Linked DNA regions of Stegostoma tigrinum. The protein of the gene in region 3 interacts with the protein of the main gene of each other region in a biochemical or structural test. Links are inferred from orthologs where the notes say so. Each region holds a gene or a part of one and is shown on either strand. Other genes may lie near its edges.

What was found.
Region 1: of the proteins of irak1 (region 3) and E3 ubiquitin-protein ligase pellino homolog 1, one has a biochemical effect on the other in vitro, tested with the Homo sapiens proteins (5 studies listed by BioGRID and IntAct, with this or other methods). The link is inferred for Stegostoma tigrinum from reciprocal best matches to the Homo sapiens genes IRAK1 and PELI1.
Region 2: the proteins of irak1 (region 3) and irf7 form a complex in vitro, tested with the Homo sapiens proteins (2 studies listed by BioGRID, with this or other methods). The link is inferred for Stegostoma tigrinum from reciprocal best matches to the Homo sapiens genes IRAK1 and IRF7.

Annotation. Positions count from the first base shown.
Region 1 is NC_081362.1:1,841,749-1,849,616, reverse strand, and holds the start of E3 ubiquitin-protein ligase pellino homolog 1, read left to right. Parts: upstream 1-4,855; 5' UTR 4,856-4,980; intron 4,981-7,868. UniProt on the Homo sapiens protein: E3 ubiquitin ligase catalyzing the covalent attachment of ubiquitin moieties onto substrate proteins. Involved in the TLR and IL-1 signaling pathways via interaction with the complex containing IRAK kinases and TRAF6.
Region 2 is NC_081370.1:35,411,746-35,419,577, reverse strand, and holds the start of irf7 (interferon regulatory factor 7), read right to left. Parts: upstream 3,095-7,832; 5' UTR 3,053-3,094; coding exon 3,021-3,052; intron 2,877-3,020; coding exon 2,711-2,876; intron 1-2,710.
Region 3 is NC_081402.1:3,446,233-3,453,345, forward strand, and holds the start of irak1 (interleukin-1 receptor-associated kinase 1), read right to left. Parts: upstream 3,010-7,113; 5' UTR 2,900-3,009; coding exon 2,788-2,899; intron 1-2,787.

The DNA.
Region 1 (7,868 bases), on a different chromosome or scaffold from region 3:
AAACCGTTTGGATCATGATTGCACAATTCCCTGCACCCATTCATTTTGTTCTGCGTCACTTCATTGGATTCCTGGATAATGACTGCATTTAGGAAAGTAAATTGCAGTCATCAGGAGAACAGGACTCCTCTCTCAGTCACGCTGGGAGAATCCCTAATCACAAATGGAGCTCATTCGGCCATTGTGCTTATTCTAGCCCTTTTTAGAAACTTCCCAATTCATCCACTTGTCATTACCAATAGGTATGTTCATCATGCAGGCCACTAGCCTGTGGATTAACGTGTCTCATGTACCTTTTACCTTATAATGATTCAAGTCAAAGCAATCAGCTTTTACTTAAACAGTTAATTTATGTCAAGCTATTGTTAAAGGTTCCTTTGAAAAAAAGACATTAATTTATTAACAAGAAAAGAACACTTGTAAATATTACTCTGTCTTATCTGTAGTTTCTGTTTCTTAACTTTGGTTTTTTAAGTTCCTGTGGCATACTGTCGGTGCTTGTTACTGAAATGAAGAGGTTATTATTTGAAGTCAGATCCAACAGCTGTGATGCATCTTTTAGATTCAGATTTAGAATTAGATTTAGATTTAGATTTTATTGTCACATGTACTTAAGTTCAGGATTACAGGAGTACAATAAAAAGTGTACAAAGTCACCATTCTCTGGTTCCATCTTTGAACACAAAAGACAATATTAAGAACAGAAGCAGAAGTAAAAGAAACAGCCAAAAGAAAAGGAAACATTCCTGTCAGAGCTAGTAAAAACTGCCGATGCTGGAGTCAGAGACAACACAGTTTGGAGCTGGAGGAACACAGCAGGCCAGGCAGCGTCAGAGGAATAAAGGTTCATACCACGCCCTCACCTGCACCGTGTGTCCTCACCACCAGAAAAACAAAATCACTAAGTCCATCTGTCAGTCTAAGAACACCCCAGTGCCAGGAGTTCCCTGCATGCAGCTGGAACACCACCTCCACCATCAGGTACCCCAAGCCTAGCCATGTCCTGGAGCTGTGTTATTGCTGTTGGAACCAGCTCACCGTTCCTCTGTGTCATCTTGCCTCCACCTCATCACCTCCATGAGTTCTCGCTGTTCCGACCTTGGCAATGCAGCTACTGCTCAACCTGCTGGCTCCCAAACTGGACTCGAACCCAACACTGGGCCCAGCATGTCGAAGCAGCTGATACCGTTACATTACTGCTGCTGCCTGCTGGTACTGTCATCTCTGCAAAGCAACCCACCATTACTGAGCCCCACACCACCCCCACCAGGAAGAGGGAAATTCCAGTCACTATCCATATCCCAGGAAAGGGAATGCTCCAGCCACTACTCACATCCCGGGAAAAGGAATGTTCCAGCCACTACCCACATCCCAGGAAAGGGGGACGTTCCAGCCACTACCCACATCCCGAGAAAGGGAATGTTCCAGCTACTACTCACATTCCAGAAAAGGGAATGGTCCAGCCACTACCCACCTCCTGGGAAAGGGTGACATTCCAGCCATAACCCACATCCCGGGAAAGGGGAATGTTCCAGCCACTATCCACCTCCTGGGAAAGGGTGACATTCCAGCCATAACCCACATCCTGAGAAAGGGGAATGTTCCAGCCACTACCCACATCCCAGGAAAGGGGGACGTTCCAGCCACTACTCACATTCTGGGAAAGGGGAATGTTCCAGCCACTACTCACATTCTGGGAAAGGGGACGTTCCAGCCACTTCCCACATCCTGGGAAAGGGGAATGTTCCAGCCACTACTCACATTCTGGGAAAGGGGGACGTTCCAGCCACTTCCCACATCCTGGTAAATCTCTTCTGAATCCTCTAGAGGCTGATACTATCCTTCCTATAATTGGATGACCAGAACAGGACACAGTATTCCAGAAGAGGGTGCAGCTGTTTTCCCCGGAGTCTCGGAGGCTGAGGGGTGGCCATATAGAGGTTTATAAAATCATGAGGGGCATGGATAGGGTGAACAGCCAAGGTCTTTTCCCCAGGGCAGGGGAGTCAAAAACTAGAGGGGCATAGGTTTAAGATGAGAGGGGAAAGATTTATAAGGGACCTGAGGGGCAATGTTTTCACACAGAGGGTGGTGCCTGTTTGGAATGAGCCGCCAGAGGAAGTGGTGGAAGCTGGTACAATTACAGCATTTAAAAGGCTCCTGGATGGGTATAAGAATAGGAAGGGTTGGGACTAGATCAGTTTCGGATATCTGGTGGGCATGGACAAGTTGGACCAAAGGGTTTGTTTTTATGCTGTCTGACTCTCTGACTATGACTGTTACAGCTTTTTACATGCCATAGTTGAAGATTCAAATTCCCCTACTTTGATGTCTATTGAGGCAGGAAACACTACTTTGCATTTTAGAAGGACCTGTCATGTTGCCCAGGTCTAGATGCATTCTAAGAGTCTCTCTTTTGTTATTTGAGATTGGCGCACTGTTCAATTGGCTTTGAAACAGTCCACTGTTTAACTGACACAGTCTACTTTGGCCTCCAACTTGAACGGACGTGTTTCACTTAGAAGCAATGTGCAGAATTTTAAAGCAAAGATGTCCTTTTCTTTAATAGATATGACAGCAGGTGACATATTTGTAATTCAATTCCATCATGTTTTCTCCTATTTCTCTTTCTCATGTGCACTTCCAGTTCAAGTATGCTCAACAAGGTGATTAAAACAAGGAAGCCATCAATGGGAAAAAAACTTGAAATAGTTTCTGAAACTAAGAGGAAAAGTAGTTTTGGAGCAGAATTCCACAGACTGTGATGTAATGAACAAAAGAATGAGGCTGATACAGAGGAACATTTCTGCTTTGAAAATGTAAACGGTGATGTCGGACAATCACTAATAAATCCAACTGGGAATTCAAGAGAAAAGTTTGTACTCAGAGAATAATCTTTACCAGAGGAAGTGATCAATATAAATAGAATTGACACCTATAAAGAGATGTTTAGAAAATACAGTTGGGAGAAAGGAATACATGGACAACTGACAGATGGAGAAGTAGGAATTGGAGCAGAAAGAGAATGCACATATTAATAACATAATGATGGATACAGTGCTGTAAAATTGACGTCAGCAGTTACATGCCACTGTGATTCTGTGAGGAAGGAATAATCCATGCAAGATGGCTGTGTTACAGGGATCAGTGTAATGTAAAAGAGTTTGGTGGCATAGAGGCAGAGATACAACAGTCTCAAAGTGGAGACAATTCATGATAAGGGAACAGCCTCCTCAGGACAGGGCTCAGCCCTTACCTGTGAACCATGTGTCAGTCTAGCCCAAGGGGACTGATTTACTAATGGTTATCTCAGTGCAGACAGAGCAAATCAGTCAGGGGTGGAAAGAGGTTAGTGTTGAAGTAAACAGCGCAGACCAGTTGAGCTGAGTGGCCCATTCGAGCTGTAAATGTTATTTAATTCTATGTAATGTACAGATATTAATGCAAATTGGCTGTAAGGCAATTGATAAATAGTGTACACTGTTCGGGTAAAGCGAACTTTCTACTATACAGGTAAAGAGATTCTCTTTTAGCAATTTCCCCATAATGTGATTATCTATAGCATGAGGTCACACAAGAATGCAACTATCACGTTATCGGAGGAGTACCTGCAATTCTCTTTTTTGATTTTGCTCCTGCTTGTGTTTTCCCCAGGTTTTCAGTCAGTGCATGCCAGATTAAGCCTCTGTTTGTGAAGACAAGAATCTTGTCTGTGTTTTGTACCTCTCACTCAGATGATTGTGAATCAGTTTTGTCTGGAATTTCCCCTTCTATCTTTAAGTGATAAATTCATAATCTCTCTGATCATGAAGTCTCCTTGCAGTTTCTGGTGAGTGGCCTTAGTGTAGTGCAGAACTGCGGAAAAATGTGGACTCGGAGTGGGCAGATGGCTGCCATGTTTGGTTCAATGCAGAGAACTGTGAAGTGATGCATTTTGATCAGAAGAACATTGAAAGACTTAAATAAGGGGTACAATTCTAAACAGGTGCAGGAGCAGAGGAACCTGGTTGTCTAAGTGCACAGAACAAATAGAGGGAACAGCAAGTAAGGCACACAGTGTCCTTGGCTTTGTTAAGAGGGGCATAGAGTACAGGAGCGAGGAGGTGAGGTTGAAATTGTACAAGATACTTGTAGGACCTCAGCTGGTGTACTGTGTACGGTTGTGGGTGTCACATTATAATAAAGATGCCAATACAGTGGACAATTTACAAGAATGGTCTAGGGGTGAGAAACTTCAGTGATGAGGTTAGATTGATAAAATGCTGTGTAAATCTATGAATCTAAATTGTAACATTTCTCCTTGGAGAGAAGAAAGCTAACAGGACACTTCATTCAGGTTTTCAAAATTATGAGTGAGCTCGATACACTACATACCCTTTCCAGTTGTATAGGGGCCTACATTTAACAAGAACCACAAAAGAAGCAAGTGTGATGTGAGGAAGATAACAAAGTGTGAGGCTGAATGAACACAGCAGGCCAAGCAGCATCTCAGGAGCACAAAAGCTGACGTTTCGGGCCTAGACCCTTCATCAGAGAGGTTTTCACACAGTGAGTAGTATTGTTTGGAATCATAGTGGAGGCAGGTTCAGTTAGGAATTGCAGAGGCCATCCGATGAAATGGTGTGCAAGAAATGGGGGAAAACCAGGAGATTGGTATTAGGCAATGATGCTCGTTTGGAGGGCTGGTACAGACAAATGGGCTGAACGGGAGGAGGGAGGATGAGGAGAGGTGGATGAGGAGAGGTGGGGGAAATGGGGAGCTGGCTCACTCTGTGAACTAGAGCTCCCAGGATGCTGTCCGCTGAAGCTGACTCGGGCTCCGCTGTGGGAGGGATAGAGGGAGGGGTTAGGCAGAGCCTGGTTGCAGGAAAGCGAGGGAGGCAGACACAGTCCCGGAGGTTTCAGTTGACGAGCGGCTGGGGTTTGCGCATTAACCAGAAAGGAAAGAAACCAGCCACACACAAAGCAAAACCGAACCTGGTAAGAGAAAGTTGTTTTGTAGCTTTCTCGGGGGGCGGGGGGGAGAACGGGATGTTGCAGCCTGGATGTGTTGGGAATTTTAGTGATTGCATTTCGGCTCCGAGCTGAAGCCCCATGTTCGGAGCGAAGCTTTCATTTTCTTGATTGGCTTTATGTGACGAGGACAGTGATTTGTACAGTACTGTGTGTGTGTGTGGGGTTGTACAAGGCGGTTGTGAGTGTGTGTGTTTCTCTCGCTCTCTGTCTCCAGCTGGCCCCCTGTGTGTGGCTGGGGAGTGGGGAGTGGGGGGTGGGGGGGAGGTGGGAAGTAGAGAGCACATTCCGGCTGCTGCTCCACACAAAGAGGCGCCTCCAGTCCCGGGGCCAGAGACACTGTCCACACCGAGAAACAGCAGCGATTCCGGGCACCCACAGACGGCGCTGCGCTGGGGAAGCGAGCTTCCGATCCAGTCGGTATCGGGACTGAGTAAAAAGCCTAACGATTCACAGCGGCCGCAAGAAGCGAATTAAAAAGACCTGCATTTTTATAGCGCTTATCACGTGTCGAAGAGTCCTGCAGTCAACGGAATGCCTTCTAAAGTGTAGTAGCCCTCTCCGTAGGAAACGAGGCAGCCAGCGTGCGCACAGCAAGATCCCAAACAGCAAACAATTATAACCACATAATGTTATTATGCAGTTGCGAGAATAGGACCTGTTTTTCTCAGGCGGGTGCGGGGAGGTGGGGTGGCAGCACAGATTTAGAGGAATCAGTAGAAGGCTTAAGGGAAACCATTTTTCACCGAGAGAGTGGTAGGGTCTGTAACAGACTGGGGCAGAAACCCTCAACTCATATTCATCTGAATTCACAGAACCTCAGGGTTAAGAATCAGTGCTGGTAAAATGGGATCCGTCTGGGTATCTTATTTTTTCAGCCAGCATAGGATATCCACCTATGGCTAATAAGGGTGGTTCGGGCAGTTAGGGATAACTGATCTTCTTGAAGAAGCGATGAGATCCATTACATCTGAGATAGTGGGAACCGCAGATGCTGGAGAATCCAAGATAACAAAGTGTGGAGCTGGATGAACACAGCAGGCCAAGATCCTTTACATCTGTTTGATCAGGCGACGGTCTCAATTTGCCACTGCCTCAGTTGCTCCTCTGGAAGGTCAGTCTCTTGCTGAAAACCTGGAGTGGGATTTGAACCCAGATCCTTATGATTCAGGGATGAGCATGCTACCTGCTGAGCCTGGATTCCAATTTTCCCAGTGCCTGAATCACTGGAGGTATGGCCCCCTCCTACTGGACACTTTAGTCTGGGAAAAATAAATGAGAATGGAAGACATTACTTGATCTTTGTAATTAGCTTTGTGTAACTAACGCCTTCTTTTAGATCAAGCCATGTCACAGGGTGTCTGGAGACATCTGAGTTCAGGGTATTGGGACCAGCTGGATCTGATCATCACCAGACATGACTCTGAGCAGCATTCCCAGCACAGGCTGCTACCACAAAGCTGACTGTGACACAGTTCACTCCCTGCTTGTGCACCACGATGAGGCTGCAACCCTCAAGGATTTTCCATTCAAAGCAGGAATGCTGTCCTTGTATCAATGTCAGTCATACTGCTGACCCAGAACAAAAACCGACAGTTCCATTACTTAATAGAACAGGCACTGTCTGGCATTCCCACACAGAGCGAAGTAGCAAAATGGGGCATACTTCAAGACACTATGCACTGTCATCATGTGGGAAATGAGTAGAAAATGCTGACTGATGTTAACTTCAAACCATTGTCACAGAATACATCATAGAAGCTAAACAGTCTGCTTTCATTAATTGCAAGAGAGATCCAAGTGAGAAACTCTGAATCCAGTAAGAGCTGCTCAAAGTAAAGTTCGAGGGACTGTGCCAAAGACTACTGGGTACAACTGCCAAAATATTCCATGTCCTTCAACACTAGGAAGGTCAGAGGCATGGTTGATGGAATCAGAAAGTCAAGAGGTCCACCAGCAAAGAAAACTGCTCTGTTGAAAATGCTTTAAACATTTGGAGAGATGGGTGGAACATTACCTTGACTTGTACTGTAGGAAGAACACAGTCACTGAAGGAAGTTGGCCTGTCATGGCAGGGATGGACCACAATCCACAGCACAGAAGCTGAACAAAGCTGTTTTTCACTTACCACGGTCGAAGTTCCAGTTGGCAATGCCGAGTTCACTGAGCATGGGAACCTAGCATTTCTGCAGCTTCTATGTGGATTTCTTTTGCTGCTGGAGGGAGAAGGCAGTGCTGCAGGATGCGTGATACAAAGATTGTGAATGTATATGAGAACAAGGATGGCTGCAGAAATTACTTAAAAGACTTAGCAGATCTCACAGCATCTGTGGAGAGAAAGCAGATTAATGTTTCTGACCATGTGATCCTTCTTCAGGGTTCCTTGTGGGAGAAGTATTTTCAAGTGTTGCTCTTGCCAGACTGTAAATCCTGGTTGAATGCATCCATCCTGAAACTCAATGTGGTTTCAGAACTGGTAGATTTACGAATGGTATGATCACCTCTGTACAGCAGCTAGAAGAGAAATACGATGAACAATTTTATTGTCATTCCTTATTTATTTACAGTGGGCTGAATGGGCCTCTACTGCTGTCATAATATGCATAATATGACTTTTTTTTGTTGTGCTAACTGTCCTGCATTTCATTGTGTCCAGTTTTATTATAGTTCTAAAAAGTATTGATTTTGTTTTAAACTTTCTTTAATAGTGAAATTTTAAGGATTGCAGTAGGTGAATCAACTTCCAGCTGATATAGAGAAGTATTGCACGTGCTGAAAGCGTTTGTCAAAAAGTGTCTTTAACCTGAAACATGAACTGTTTCTGTCTCCATAGTTGTTCCAGACCTGTGAAGTAT
Region 2 (7,832 bases), on a different chromosome or scaffold from region 3:
TCTAAATTAAACTCCACGTGTCACTCCTCAGCCCATTTTTCCCCATCGGATTAAGGTCTTGTTGTACTCTGAGATAATCTTCTTCACTGTCCACTACACCTATTTTGGTGTCATCAGCAAACTCACTAACCATGCTTTCTATATTCACATCCCAATTGTTTATTATAGATGATAAAAAGCAGTGGACCCAGCACTGACCCTTGTGGCACACGGCAGGTCACAGGCCTCCAGTCTGCAAAGCAATCCTCCACCACCACCGGCTATCTCCTACTATCAAGCCAATTTAGTGTCCAATTGGCTAGTTGCCCCTAGATCTAACCTTACTAACAGGTCTATTATGTGGAACTTTGTCAAGTTCTTTGCTGAAGTGCAGATAGACAACTCTGCCTTCATCACCTTTATCACCTCTTCAAAAAACTCAATCATAATTTTGCATGCACAAAGCCATGCTGACCTCTCTCTAATCAGTCTTTGCCTTCCCAAATGCATGGAAATCCTGTCCCTCAAAATCCCGTCCAACAACTTAGCCACCGCTGATGTCAGGCTCATTGGCCTATTGTCCCCTGGCTTTTCCTCACAACCTTTCATAAATAACAGCACCACATTAGCCACCCTCCATACTTTGAATGCCCACTGTCATATCTCTCTTTGAGCACCGATCACAGCTGTTGCAGGTGTTCAGGTGAGGTGGCATGCAGCAAGCCTTGAAATGCTCCACCCATCCCTCAAGCTGCTAAGCACAGGGACAGCAAAGTGACACTTACAGTGTATTGAGACCCTCAGACAACGACAGCCAGAGAAAGTCTGCTGCTTGGGATTTCAAGTGTTTTGAAAACAAATAAATTGCCAAATCATCACTTAGGAGCTTGATATTTACACACAGGAGGATCCCACACAGAAATACACAGGCAGAGACATGCATCAATAGGCTGACATTATTAAGGTCACCATAGCCTAGCAGACCAAAGACCTGCTCTCTGACAGGAGAAATGGCTGGTGGTAGCTAAACCTGAGGATCACCACATCTCAGGTGAGGGCAAAGACTGAAAAAGAAATTTCCTTGAGGAACCTCTGCTGGTCCAAGAATTGAACCCACACCATTGGCATCAATCTACGTCACAAACCAGCTGTCCAGCCAAATGAGCTAACCACCTCCACAACACATGTAAAGAGACAAAAAGACAGCTACTCACTGACCCAAAACTGAATACTTAATTAAACCCAGTTAACAGATGCCAGGCTGCTGACTTATGAAAGGTCAAGTTATAAAATGAATTGGAGCATTGGGAGGTTATCGAGTTGATAAATGCATTACAATCTTCCAAGAATAAAACGCTCCTTCAGTGCCAACTCTCCTGACAGCTGTGCACTCCCACAGCACCCACCCTCCGACAGCACTCCCTCAGCACCCACCCTCCGACAGCACTGAGCTCCCATGTCTGGAAGGAGATTTGAAACATTTTTTCAGTTTCAGGAGGAGCGGATGCTCTGTCACTTTAAATCACTGAATATTGTCAGGCTGTGCCCCAGGCGATAGTTATTCCTCAACAAACACAAAATGCTGGGGAAACTCAGCAGGTCCGACAGCATCTGCAGCGAGAGAAACAGAGTTAATGTTACCAGTCTGTACGACTTGTTCATAACTAAATTTCCAGATCCAGACCTGCTCAGTTCCTCCAGAATTCTCTGCGCCCGTTTTAGATTTCCTGCATCTGTGGGGCTTTCCTTTCGTTTGACAGCTATTCTGGCTTCTCACCAAAATCGCCATCACCCAGGGAGTGGGCAGTGGCTGATCATTACTTCCCCAACATCCTCAGCTGCCCATCATAACAACAGCATCACCAAGTGAGTTCATCTTCCAATTTGAAAGAATAGGCCAGTACAACTCTCCACTGCGCCAGCAGAGGGAGCAGTGATAAGGAACCTGGTTTATTCCTTGTGTATGCACGTCAGGTAAACACCACGTATCTACACAGCAGGGCAGCAAAGAACCCAACGTTTTTATGTGATGTTTGGCATGGGGAGCATTTACAAACTAAACGCTGCCGTGGGTTCCCTATATTGGACAGTCTCTGCTGAGATTAGCTGATTGGTCTCACTTTACCATAATTCACTAACTTTTCATGCTACACATCAAACTCTAAACTAATATTCCTTGAGAAGGCCAGACTCCAATTGAAATTAGAATCTAATTAAAGAGAGCTTAGCCAACATTTTTCATTTTCTCAAAGCCGAAACATTTCAAACAGGAATCCCTCTAGAGATAGACAACATCGAAAAGACTGGCATTGCCGCAGCACATTGTTGGAGCAGCAGATCTCTCGACGTGCTGTACAGCCAAATCAATGCTTTTGAAGTTAATCACTGTTGTAATATTGGAATCAGACCAAACAATTTGTGCACAGCAAGCTCCCACAAACAGTAGTGAGACAATTACAAGATAATCTCTTAATTTACTGGTTTTGACAAAAACGCCATAGCATACTCTCCTGCTGTTCTTCATAATTAATGTCAAACAGTCTTGACATCCACCAGGGTCTAACTTTCTGAGCGGCGATCCCTCAGTGCTGCCAATCTTATGCAAAATATCGGGTTCGGACTTTTTAATTCAGACATTTGCTCGCTCAGCCGCCTCATACTCCCAGGCTGACTGTACAAACAACATTAATTGTCTGCAGGCAACTGCTCACACCCCGCTGCAAGCCCCTACCTTGAAGATGCTGTAATCATTCTCACACAGGTCCTGTCTGCCGGCGTGTTTCCAGGGAATACGGAACATGGTTTTTTCTTTATTCAACCAACGCAGTCCATGGTAACTGCCGCTGTTAATCTGAGCGATTAACCAGGATCGGAGCTGTGGTTTCTGGTTGTTCATTCTGTAACAGATTGGGACAACGCTCTGTGTTACAAACACGGTGTAGAGCAAAGCAAGATAACGAATTCTGCAACAGTACAAGGTGCAGATCAGACATGGAGACTTGTCCCCAGTAAATACATTCCTGCAAGAGAGAGCGTGTCACCTCTGTTTGCCCATTGCAGAAACGACAAACATCAGGACATCGCTCTGCTTTCAATTCAACGCACCCTGGCTCTGCAAAGCTCTTATATAGAGGTGTGGGCCGCTCAGAGACGTCACATGCTAACAGGGAGCACCACCTTCTGTAATCCAACCCCCACCATAACCTCACTTTACAGGCAGAGTTCACGTCTGTCCCCACCCTTCTCCACCCCCGCGGTTTGTGGTTTCATCATCTCACCACGGCTCAGAAAGCCCAGCACCAGCCTCCATCCTCATACTTGGCGCGCGTACTGTCATTTTCCAAATATGGCAAACCTGTTTCCTTTCCCTGAAATCACGTGGAATCCAGTCGAATTTGTAAGCTCAGTTATTTCTAAGTTTCACTTTCCATTGTTGCGCTGTTAGCCAAACAGGAATTGGCGCCAAACTTCGAACATAGCCAATTCTGTTCAAATAAAAAAGGGAAAGCCCTTTCATTTTGCAAGGCTTTGGGAAATTTTGTTTACCAATGAGTGAACATTATCAGCAAGTAATTTGAAGATGAGCAAAACCCAAGCCCTCTGTATGTTTCCAGGCCCTGAGAGAAATTCCTCTTCCACAAACTAGCCCTTGGACAGCTGTTTGAGTGTGTCACTTGCACTTGAGTAACTCACCAAGTCTCCTCCAACCTTTCAAATCCATAACCTGTAAAAGTAAAAAGGCAAGGGCTGCAGACACACAGGCACACTGCCAAACAGTTTCGAATGGTTCCTCAATGATCTTCCCTCCATCATAAGGTCAGAGGTGGAGATGTTAATTGATGTTTGGAACAATGTTCAGCACCATTTGCAACTCTAGATCCTGAAGCAGTCCTTGCCCATAGCCCCAAGATCTGGGTAACATTCAGTTGAGGGCTCATCAATAGCTCATAAGTGTAATGAATGTGCCACTGGAGTAGCAGGCGAAGTTCATGTTGCAAGAAAACTGAACCTCCATTTGATATTCAGAGGCAGCACCATTTCTAAGTTCCCCTCCATTAATATCCTGGGACTTGTCATTGACCAGGAACCAGAATGGACCAGCCAGATAAATAAATGTGGCTACAAGATCAGACCAGAGTCTGGGGATTCTTGCAGTAAATAACTCACCTTGTGATTTACAAAGCTTTCCATTGTATAAAAGGCACAGGTGAGGAACATAATAGAATGAAAAAATCAACCCAAAGAACTGCAGATGCTAGAAATCAGAAACACAAACAGAAATTGCTGGAAAAAACTCAGCAAGTCTAGCAGCATCTGTAGAGAGAAAGTAGAGTTAATATTTTGGGTCCAGTTAACCTTCTCCAGAAGCCTGCTGAGTTTTTCCAACATGATAGAATGACCCCCACTTGATTGGATGGCAGCAGCTTCAATAACACCCAGGAAGATTGACAACATCCAGGAAAAAGTTTTCCACTTGCTCAACATCCCCTTTCACTGCCTTAAACATTCACTCCCTCCATGTGCAGTGCATAGCGGCACATAATTTTCCATCTACAGGTGACATTACAACAAATCACCAAGTCTCCACAGGCAACATCTTCTAAACCTGTGCCCTCAATCACCTGGAAAAACAAGGCCAGCAGTAACATTACATTGCAACACCACCATAGCAGGCTCCCTGCTGAGTCACGCACGTTAGAACTATATCAATTTTCCTTCACTATTGTTGAGTCATAATCCTGCAACTTGCTTCCGAGCAGTGTTGTGGCAATACCCTCATTCCAAAGGCAAAGCGTTCAAGAAAACAGCTCAGCGGTACTTCTCAAGAGCAATTAGTGGGGGATGAAAAGCGATAGCTTGAACAGCAATGCTTTTTTTTCTCAGGAACACATAAAACAACACTTCCGTGCTTGTCTCAGTTGTGGGCGCCCTTTCTTAGCTGTGAGTTAGAAGGTGTGGGTTTCAGTCCCACTCAAGGGCGAGAGTAAAACAATCTGGGAGATACTCCAATGAACGACTGAGGGAATCCTGCATTGTAGGAGGGTCAGTGTTGAGGCACCGCTGCACAGTCAGGGTGTCAGTACTGAGGGAGTGTTGCACTGCCAGAGGATCAGGACTGTGGGATTGCTGCACTGTCAGAGGGTCAGCACTGTGGGATTGCTGCACTGTGAGAGGATCAGTACTGAGGGATTCCTTGGAGTGACAGCTGCACTGAATTGAAGGAGAGCTGCATTGTTGGAGGGTCAGTACTGTGGGAATGTTGCACTGTTGAAAGGTCAGTACTACGGAATGTTGCACTTTTGGAGGGTCAGTACTGTGGGAATGTAGCACGGTTGGAAGGTCAGTACTACGGAATGCTGCACTTTTGGAGGGTCAGTACTGTGGGAATTTTGCACTGTCAGAAGGTCAGTAGTACAGAATGCTGCACTTTTGGAGGGGCAGTACTGTAGGAGTGCTGCAGTATTGGAGGATCAGTACTGTGGGAATGTTGCATTGTTGGAGGACCAGTACTGTGGGAATGTTGCATTGCTGGAGGACCCATACTGTGGGAATGTTGCATTGTTGGAGGATCAGTACTGTGGGAATGTTGCTTTGTTGGAGGATCGGTACTGTGGGAATGTTGCATTGTTGGAGGATAAGTACTGTGGGAATGCTCCATTGTTGGAGGATCAGTACTGTGGGAGTGCTGCATTATTGGAGGATCAGTATTGTGGGAATGTTGCATTGTTGGAGGATCAGTACTGTGGAACTGTTGCATTGTTGGAGGATCAATACTGTGGGAGTGTTGCATTGTTGAAGGATCAGTACTGTGGGAGTGCTGCATTGTTGGAGGATCAGTACTGTGGGAGTGCTGCATTATTGGAGGATCAGTACTGTGGGAATGTTGCATTGTTGGAGGATCGGTACTGTGGGAATGTTGCATTGTTGGAGGATTGGTACTGTGGGAATGGTGCATTGTTCGAGGATTAGTACTGTGGGAGTGCTGCATTGTTGGAGGATCAGTACTGTGGGAATGTTGCGTTATTGGTGGAGCTGTACTGTGGGAATGTTGCGTGGTTGAAGGATCAGTACTGTGGGAATGCTGCATTGTTGGTGGAGCTGTACTGTGGGAATGTTGCACTGTTGGAGGATCGGTACTGTGGGAATATTGCATTGTTGGAGGATCGGTCATGTGGGAATGTTGCATTGTTGGAGGATCAGTACTGTGGGAATGTTGCATTGTTGGAGGATTGGTACTGTGGGAATGTTGCATTGTTGAAGGATCGGTACTGTGGGAATGTTGCATTGTTGGAGGATCAGTACTGTGGGAGTGCTGCATTGTTGGTGGAGCTGTACTGAGGGACCACTGCACTGTAAGTACTGAGGATGTGTTGCAGTGCCAGTGGTGCAGTTCTGAGTGACTACAGCGCTCTTGATGGGCAAAATGGAGAGAGTATTACACCATTGAAGTAGCAGTCTGTCATTGAATCTTTAAACTGAGTCCTCTTCTGGAGGATAGAAAAGCTTCCTTGGCACTATCTTAAAGAGCTGTTATATTTCCCCAGTATTCCAGTTAGTATTTATTCCTCAATCAATAGATTATCTGGTCATTATCACATTGCTGTTTGCGGGATCTTACTGGACACAAATTGGCTGCTGCATTTCCTGTGTTATAACAGTGACATCATTTCACCGGCTGCAAAATTCTTTGAGACATCTAATGGTCTTGAAAGGAGCTACTGAAGTGCAGTGTTTGTTCTCCCTTTCACAGACATCCTGTGTTCAATTTACTTTTTCACTCTGTCGCTTGAAATTAGTGCTCTATGTTCTACATTATATGTTCATAGAAAATACAAAATCTGAAAGAAATAAATTTTCCACTGCAACAGATGAGCAGGAATTACTTTCATTTCCCTGTCATTTCTACTTTAAGAATTACAAAAAGGAGTATTGAAGAATGCTGTATTGACCTCAGAAAAGTAGAACTAACAGACGTTTCAGCCAGTGTGGGAATTCCCTTACATCCAATGCAAGTGACAGTGCTGAAAGTCAGGACTTAATGCTAGAACCCAGTGTCATTTTGTAACATCAATGTCCAGTACATAATACTTTTGCCAGTGTTGGTAGCCAGTTGTCATGTTCAGTGTCAATACCTGTGTCAGTGTCAGTACCAGTGCCTAGGACCCAGTGTCAACATCAATAATCTTCAATAAAAGTTGTGTTGGTTACAAATTATACCACGGAACCCAGGATTTTCATATGAACAAGGACTCTGCTTGCAGGCAAAACTTTGGGCGGAACTGATTTTGAAATGCAGTAACAATTGCACAAACCAGGACTCTAACAAGCTGCCTGCCTCATTCCTGCCAGGTGAGGAGGGCTAATATCAACCCTTTGCTTCTTAATGTGGTCACTGGATGGGATCTAATAATCTGAGAGCAGATAGTTCAGAGCCACTTGCTGCCACTGGGTATCTGAGTACTGAAGCAAAACCCTCAAGTCAGAGCCGTAGGGTCAATATATGTGCATTACTCATTGTAAGTACCACTTTGACTCCATGCCCTGTACTGAATGCCATCAGATGTCCTGCCAATGCATAAACAATGGTGTTGTTGTTCTGTGCATAATGTAACAAGAAACTTTGCTCATTCTACCCTGGTTTCTCTCTGTCAGTACCTGCTTTCAAAACATCAAAACATCACCCAATGCTAAATGTTCCATTATGTATTTCTATAAATATCACCTTACAATCAGATAAAAGACCTGCTGCTGGTTTCAGTCCAACATAAGCAAATAAACATTGGATGACGAAGACAGTAGTGTGGTTACATTAACTGGTGACTTAGTGAGCTGACTGTTTCAGTAGTCAGCAT
Region 3 (7,113 bases):
AAAAAAAGACATTTTCCCAGCCACCAAGAGTTCTGATGAAGGGTCACCGGACCTGAAGCGTCAACTCTATTTTTTCTTTCACAGATGCTGCCAGATCTATTGAGCTTTTCTTGTGATTTATGGTTTCGCAAATGGGATGTGACCTTTATACACAGAGGACTGGAGTATAAGAATGCAGAAGTTTCACTACAGCTATATAAAACCATCTGAAGGGGGAAGGGTCACTGGGCATGAAACATTAACTCTCTCTCTCTACAGATGCTGCCAAACCAGCTGAGCTTTTAAAGCAATTTCTGAGTAGGTAAACTAAATTCCACTAAAGACAGATGTGCAGCACGGAAACAGACGTTTTGGTCCAACTTGTCTGTGCTGACTAGATTTCCCAATGTGACCTAGTCCCATTTGCCAGCATTTGGCCCATATCCCTCTAAACCCTTCCTACTCACGTACCCAATCAGATGGCTTTAGTAACTGTACCAGCCTCCACCACTTCCTCTGGTAGCTCTTTCCATATACTCCCCACACTCTGCAGAAGCAATTGCTCCTTAGGTCCCTTTTAAACTTTTCCCCTCACCTTAAAAATTTACACCAAGTTTTAGGCTCCCCTACCCTGGGGGAAAAGGCCTCAACAGTTCACCCTATCCATACCTCTCGTGATTTTATAAAACCTCTAAGGCTCCCTCCCCACCTCCCACCAAGAGTCCAATGACCCAGCCTCTCCCTAAAGCACAAACCCTCCAAAATCCTTGTAAATCTTTTCTGCACCCTTTCAAGTTTCACATCTTTCCTATAGCCAGGAGGCCAGAATTGATCACAGTATTCCAAAACTGGCCTCACCAGTAGTTGGAGATTTGAGAAGTGGGGGCATAGAATAAAACAGCCTTTATTGTCGCATTTACTCTGAGTATAGTGAAGAGTTCTCACATCACCAATTACAGCACCAACACTGATACTAATGTACCTAGGAACAGCTTCTTTAGTTTTAAGGTGGGAATTACAGCCTAATCTGTTCAGGATCAACGTTTGGAACTCTCTTTCAGTGGATTAGAAAAATAGGAACAAAAGGTGCAGGAGTAGGCCATTCAGCCCGTCAAGCCTGAACCACCACTCTAAGATCACGGCTGATCATGCAACTTCGGTATCCCATTCCCACCCTCTGCCCATACCCCCGATCCCTTTAGCCATGAGGGCCACATCCAGCTCCTTCCTGAACGTATCTAATTAACTGGCCCCAACAGCTTCCTGTGGGAGAGAATTCCACAGGTTCACAGCTCTCTGACTGAAGAAATTCTTCCTCATCTCAGTCCTGAACAGCTTACCCTCTCAGACTGTGACTCCTTGCTCTGGACTTACCCATCATCAGGAACATTCTTAACATTCTGTCCAGCCCCATCAGGGTTTTACATGTTTCTATGATATCCCCTCTCATTCTTCTAAATTCCAGCAAGTACAAGCCCAGCTAACCTAGTTTTTTTTGCCTCATCCGTCAGTCCTGCCACCCTGGGAATCAGTCTGGTGAACCTTTGCTGAACTCCCTCAATCTGGATGTGAGTTTGCTCGCTGAGCTGGAAGGTTTGTTTTCAGACATTTCATCACCATTCTAGGTAACATCATCAGTGAGCCTCCGGTGAAGCGCTGGTGTTATGTCCTGCTTTCTATTCAACCTGAGCTACAAATCTTCTCAAAACACGCAAACTCCCTCAATATCAAGAATGCCTTTCCTCAGACTAAGAGACCAAGACTCAAGTTGTGGTCTCACCAATGCCTGTATACCTGTAACAAGACATCCTTACTCTGATGATCAAATTCTCTGGTTATGAAAGTCAGCATGTCATTATCTTTCCTCACGGCCTGCTGCACCGCACGCCAACAGCACACCTTGTCCCAACCTGCCACAAATCAGACAATAATCTGCTTTTATGACCAAAGTGGATAGCCTCACTTTTATCCTCATTGTATTGCATTTGCCAAGTACCTACCCATTCAGCCAGAAACGGAATTAGACTCAGATCTTAATTGTCAAGTCTAGATCACGTTGCGGCTGTACAGGTCATTGGTGAGGCCACTTTTTGGAATACTGTGTTCAATTCTGGTCTCCCTGCTGTAGAAAGGATGTTGTGAAACTTGAAAGGTATTAGATAAGATTTACATAGATGTTGCCAGGGTTGGAGGGTTTGATCTATAGGGGGCAGGCTGAATAGGTTGGGGCTAATTTCCCAGAATGTTGGAGGCTGTGGGATGACCTTAAAGAGGCTTATAAAATCATGAGGGGCATAGGTAGGGTGACAAGTATAGGGGCATAGGTTTAAAAGGAGGGAGGGGAAAGAGTTAAAAGGGATCTAAGGAGCACCTTGTTCACACAAGAGGGTGGTGTGTGTATGGAATGAGCCACCAGAGGAAGTGTGGAGGCTGGTACAATTACAACATTTAAAAGGCATCAGAATAGGAAGGGTTTAAGAGGGTTATGGGCCGAATGCTGGCAAGTGGGGCTGGATTTATTTAGGATATCTGATAGGCATGGACAAGTGGGACAGTCTGTTCCCATGCTGTACATCTCTATGTAGGAATAAGAGTGAAAAGCGTAAGAAGTTATCACCCGGGGCACCGAGATAGATAAATCGTTGCTCAGCAAGTAAAATGGGCTGAAGGTAGGTGGGCGACCTAATTCCACTTGATCAGCCACTGGAATGGGGCAGCAGGGTTCGAGGGGTTGAATGGCTACCCTGGATCCTCAAATCTCGCGTTAACTGATCAAGAAGAAGGGTGCGCGCTCTCGCTGTCTCTCACCGAAGCGGTTCCAGTCGCCACTGCCCAGCGAGTCCATCACCGTGCAGAATTCGCACATGGTGGCGGCGGGCAGCTTGTAAGCGTACTCAGTGGTCCAGCTCCACTCGGACATCGTCCTGTCTTTGGTTCGTGCCGGTCTAGGCCGCAACCCGTTCCTATGGAAACCAAACAGAGCTCCTCACCCTCCAACGCCGAGACCCGCGACTGGCGTCGCCGCCACTCCTCGGGACCCGGGGCCCGATTGGACGCCTCCCATTGGCTGACCGCCCCGCCAATCGGACAGCGCCCAACGCGTCTATTCGTCCCCACACAGCGAAAAAAACATAAAATAACCCCACGTGTCCCTCGCTCCCATTGGTCGAAACTGCAGCCACGCAGAGAGGAATCACGAACTGGATTGGTCGGCCCAGGAGGAGCTCGAGAAGTTACCGCCCCCGTCACGGTGCCTGCCATTCGATTGGCCATCCGGCCACGTCGTCATAGGCATTCCTATTCCCCATTGACCAAACCCGCTGCCACTCAGAATGCAGCTGGAGTTGATTGGTCGGCCGGTGAGTTTGTGGGCTCAATGAAGTCCATGCCCCCTTACTTCCTTCTCCGCCCCTTCCCAATCACGAGCCGGCTCTGTCCCACCTCCACTCAAACGCGATTTCGGCAAACGGACACCGCCCACGGCCAGTTCGCGGTTTGATTGGTCCGACAGTCTGTCACTCTAATCCCACTTACGGCTTTGTGCCCGCACCTTTATCAGCGATTGGCTCAAGGACAGAGCGCGCTGTTGACGATTGGCTGGTGCCCCTTCAATCAGATAGTTCGCATGAACCTGACCCTTGACCCAAGAAAAATACCAATACCCGAAAGATGTTTAAAACTTTCATTATGTTATTATAATGAGATTGGGAGTCTTCATAAATACAAAATGACCGTCTTGAGCCCAATTGCAGAGCAGATCTCAGAACGATACATGACAAAAGAGACCATTCGGCCCATCAACTCTGTGCTGACCCTAAACTTTGTCCGCTCCCACTGTCAGCACTCGGTCCACAGCCTTGAAAGTAAAGACACTCGAAGTGCTCCGCCGCATTTTGAAGTTCAGCAGCGCAGTATTCCATCAGCACTGACCCTCTGACAGTGCCCGCTCCCTCAGCACTGACCCTCCGACAGTGCGTCGCTCCCTCAGCACTGACCCTCCAACAGTGCCCACTCCATCAGCACTGACCCTCTGACAGTGCCCGCTCCCTCAGCACTGACCCTCTGACAGTGCCCGCTCCCTCAGCACTGACCCTCTGACAGTGCCCGCTCCCTCAGCACTGACCCTCTGACAGTGCCCGCTCCCTCAGCACTGACCCTCTGACAGTGCCCGCTCCCTCAGCACTGACCCTCTGACAGTGCCCTCTCCCTCAGCACTGACCTTCCGACAGTGCCCGCTCCCTCAGCACTGACCCTCCAACAGTGCCCACTCCATCAACACTGACCCTCCGACAGTGCCCGCTCCCTCAGCACTGACCCTCCGACAGTGCCCGCTCCCTCAGCACTGACCCTCCGACAGTGCCCGCTCTCTCAGCACTGACCCTCCGACAGTGCCCGCTCCCTCAGCACTGACCCTCCGACAGTGCCCGCTCCATCAGCACTGACCCTCCGACAGTGCCCACTCCATCAGCGCTGACCCTCTGACAGTGCCCACTCCCTCAGCGCTGACCCTCTGACAGTGCCCACTCCATCAGCACTGACCCCTCCGACAGTGCCCACTCCATCAGCGCTGACCCTCTGACAGTGCCCACTCCCTCAGCACTGACCCTCCAACAGTGCAGCGCTCCCTCGGCACTGACCCTCCAACAGTGCCCACTCCATCAGCACTGACCCTCCGACAGTGCCCACTCCCTCAGCACTGACCCTCCGACAGTGACCGCTCCCTCAGCACTGACCCTCTGACAGTGACCACTCCCTCAGCACTGACCCTCCGACAGTGACCACTCCCTTAGCACTGACCCTCCGACAGTGCCCACTCCCTCAGCACTGACCCTCTGACAGTGACCGCTCCCTTAGCACTGACCCTCCGACAGTGCCCACTCCATCATCATTGACCCTCCGACAGTGCCCACTCCATCAGCACTGACCCTCCGACAGTGCCCACTCCATCAGCACTGACCCTCCGACAGTGCCCGCTCCCTCAGCACTGACCCTCCGACAGTGCGGAGCTCCATCAGCACTGACCGTCCGACAGTGGTTGCTCCCCCTGGTGCTGACCCTGCAACAGCAAGGCACTCCCTCCGAACTGACCCCCTGACAGCACCCACTCCATCAGTGCTGACCCTCCAATAGTACTGACGGGAGTGCCACGCAGTTGGAAGGTGTGTAAGGATACAGTGCCGCACTGTTAGAGGGTCAGCGCGGAAGGAGCGGGCACTGTCGGAGGGTCAGGGCTGAGGGAGCGCTGCACTGTCGGAGGGTCAGTACTGAGGGAGTGGGCAATGTCGGAGGGTCAGTGCTGAGGGAGTGGGCACTGTCGGAGGGTCAGTGCTGAGGGAGTGGGCACCGTCGGAGGGTCAGTACTGAGGGAGTGGGCACTGTCGGAGGGTCAGTGCTAAGGGAGCGGTCACTGTCAGAGGGTCAGTGCTGAGGGAGCGTCGCACTGTCAGAGGGTCAACGCCGAGGGAGTGGACACTGTCGCAGGGTCAGTACTGAGGGAGTGGGCACTGTCAGAGAGTCAGTGCCAAGGGAGCGGGCACTGTCAGAGGGTCAACGCCGAGGGAGTGGACACTGTCGGAGGGTCAGTACTGAGGGAGTGGGCACTGTCAGAGGGTCAGTGCTAAGGGAGCGCCGCACTGTCGGAGGGTCAGCGCCGAGAGAGTAAGCACTGTCAGAGGGTCAGCGCCAAGGGAGCAGTCACTGTCAGAGGGTCAGTGCTGAGGGAGCGTCGCACTGTCGGAGGGTCAGCGCTGAGAGCGCGGTCACTGTCGGAGGGTCAGTGCTGAGGGAGTGCCGCACTGTCGGAGGGTCAGCGCCAAGGGAGCGGTTACTGTCAGAGGGTCAGTGCTGAGGGAGCGCCTCACTGTCAGAGGGTCAGTGCCGAGAGAGTAAGCACTGTCAGAGGGTCAGCGCCAAGGGAGCGGGCACTGTTGGAGGGTCAGTGCTGAGGGAGCGCCACATTGTTGGAGGGTCAGTGCTGAGGGAGTGGGCACTGCAGGAGGGTCAGCGTTGAGGGAGCGCCGCACTGTCGGAGGGTCAGCGCTGAGGAAGCGCTGTACTGTCGGAGGGTCAGTGCTGAGAGAGCACCGCACTGTCGGAGGGTCAGTGCTGAGGGAGCGCTGCACTGTCGGAGGGTCAGTGCTGAGGGAGTGCCGCACTGTCGGAGGGTCAGTACATTTCTGAAGAAGGGTTCTGATCTGAAATGTCAACTTCCCTGCTCCTCTGATGCTGCCTGCCGTGCTGTGTTCCTCCAGCTTCACACTGTGTCATCTCTGACTCCAGCATCTTCAGTTCTTAACTGTCTCCACATTGAGTATCTTAGTCTTTGGGATGACAAGCAGTTGGGACCATCAGGGGGAGCTCTGTTTAAACAAACCTAAACCCTCATGAACATTAACTGAGAACCACAAAGCTCAGTTCCAAATAAGAGTACGACAGCCAGCAAATTGTACTGAACATATCTGAGGCACTTCGTTAGATCCCAGCTGGAGGAGCGTGTGCAGTTCCGAGCACCACTCTTCAGGAAGGACATGGACGCTTTGGAGAGAACGTAGCAGAGACTCACAAGGACAGTGAGGTATGAGAAATAGGTTGGAGAGTCTACGAGCTATTTTTGTCAGAAGGATCTGATTAAAACTGTGACGCATCTGACTGAAGGGGAGAAAATTTTCCCGTTTGTCGAAGGATCAGCCGAAACAAGAAAGCACAGTATTTGTGGTAGCGTGGTGACTCGTATTTAGCACTACTTGCCTCGGAGCACTCGGCACCTGCATCTGATTCCACTCTCCGGCAACGGTCAGTGTGGAGTTTGCACATTCTCCCTGTGTCTGCGGGGGTTCCAATTTCCTCCCATGTCCAAAGATGTGCAGGTTAGGGTGAACTGGCCATGCTAAACTGACCACAGTATCCAGGGATGTGTGGTTTAGGGTGGGTTGGGCATCCGAAGTTACCTCGTAGTGTCCAAGGATATGCAGACTAGGTACATTAGCCATGGGACATGCAGGTTTTGGGTATAGAGTGTTGGTGCGATTTGATAGGCCGAATAGCCTGCTCCTAAACTGAAGGGATTTTTTTTAAGGGTTTTCTCCCCTCCCTCTTCAAGCAGCATGGCAAAGGCAAGTTCAATCAAGGTTTTCG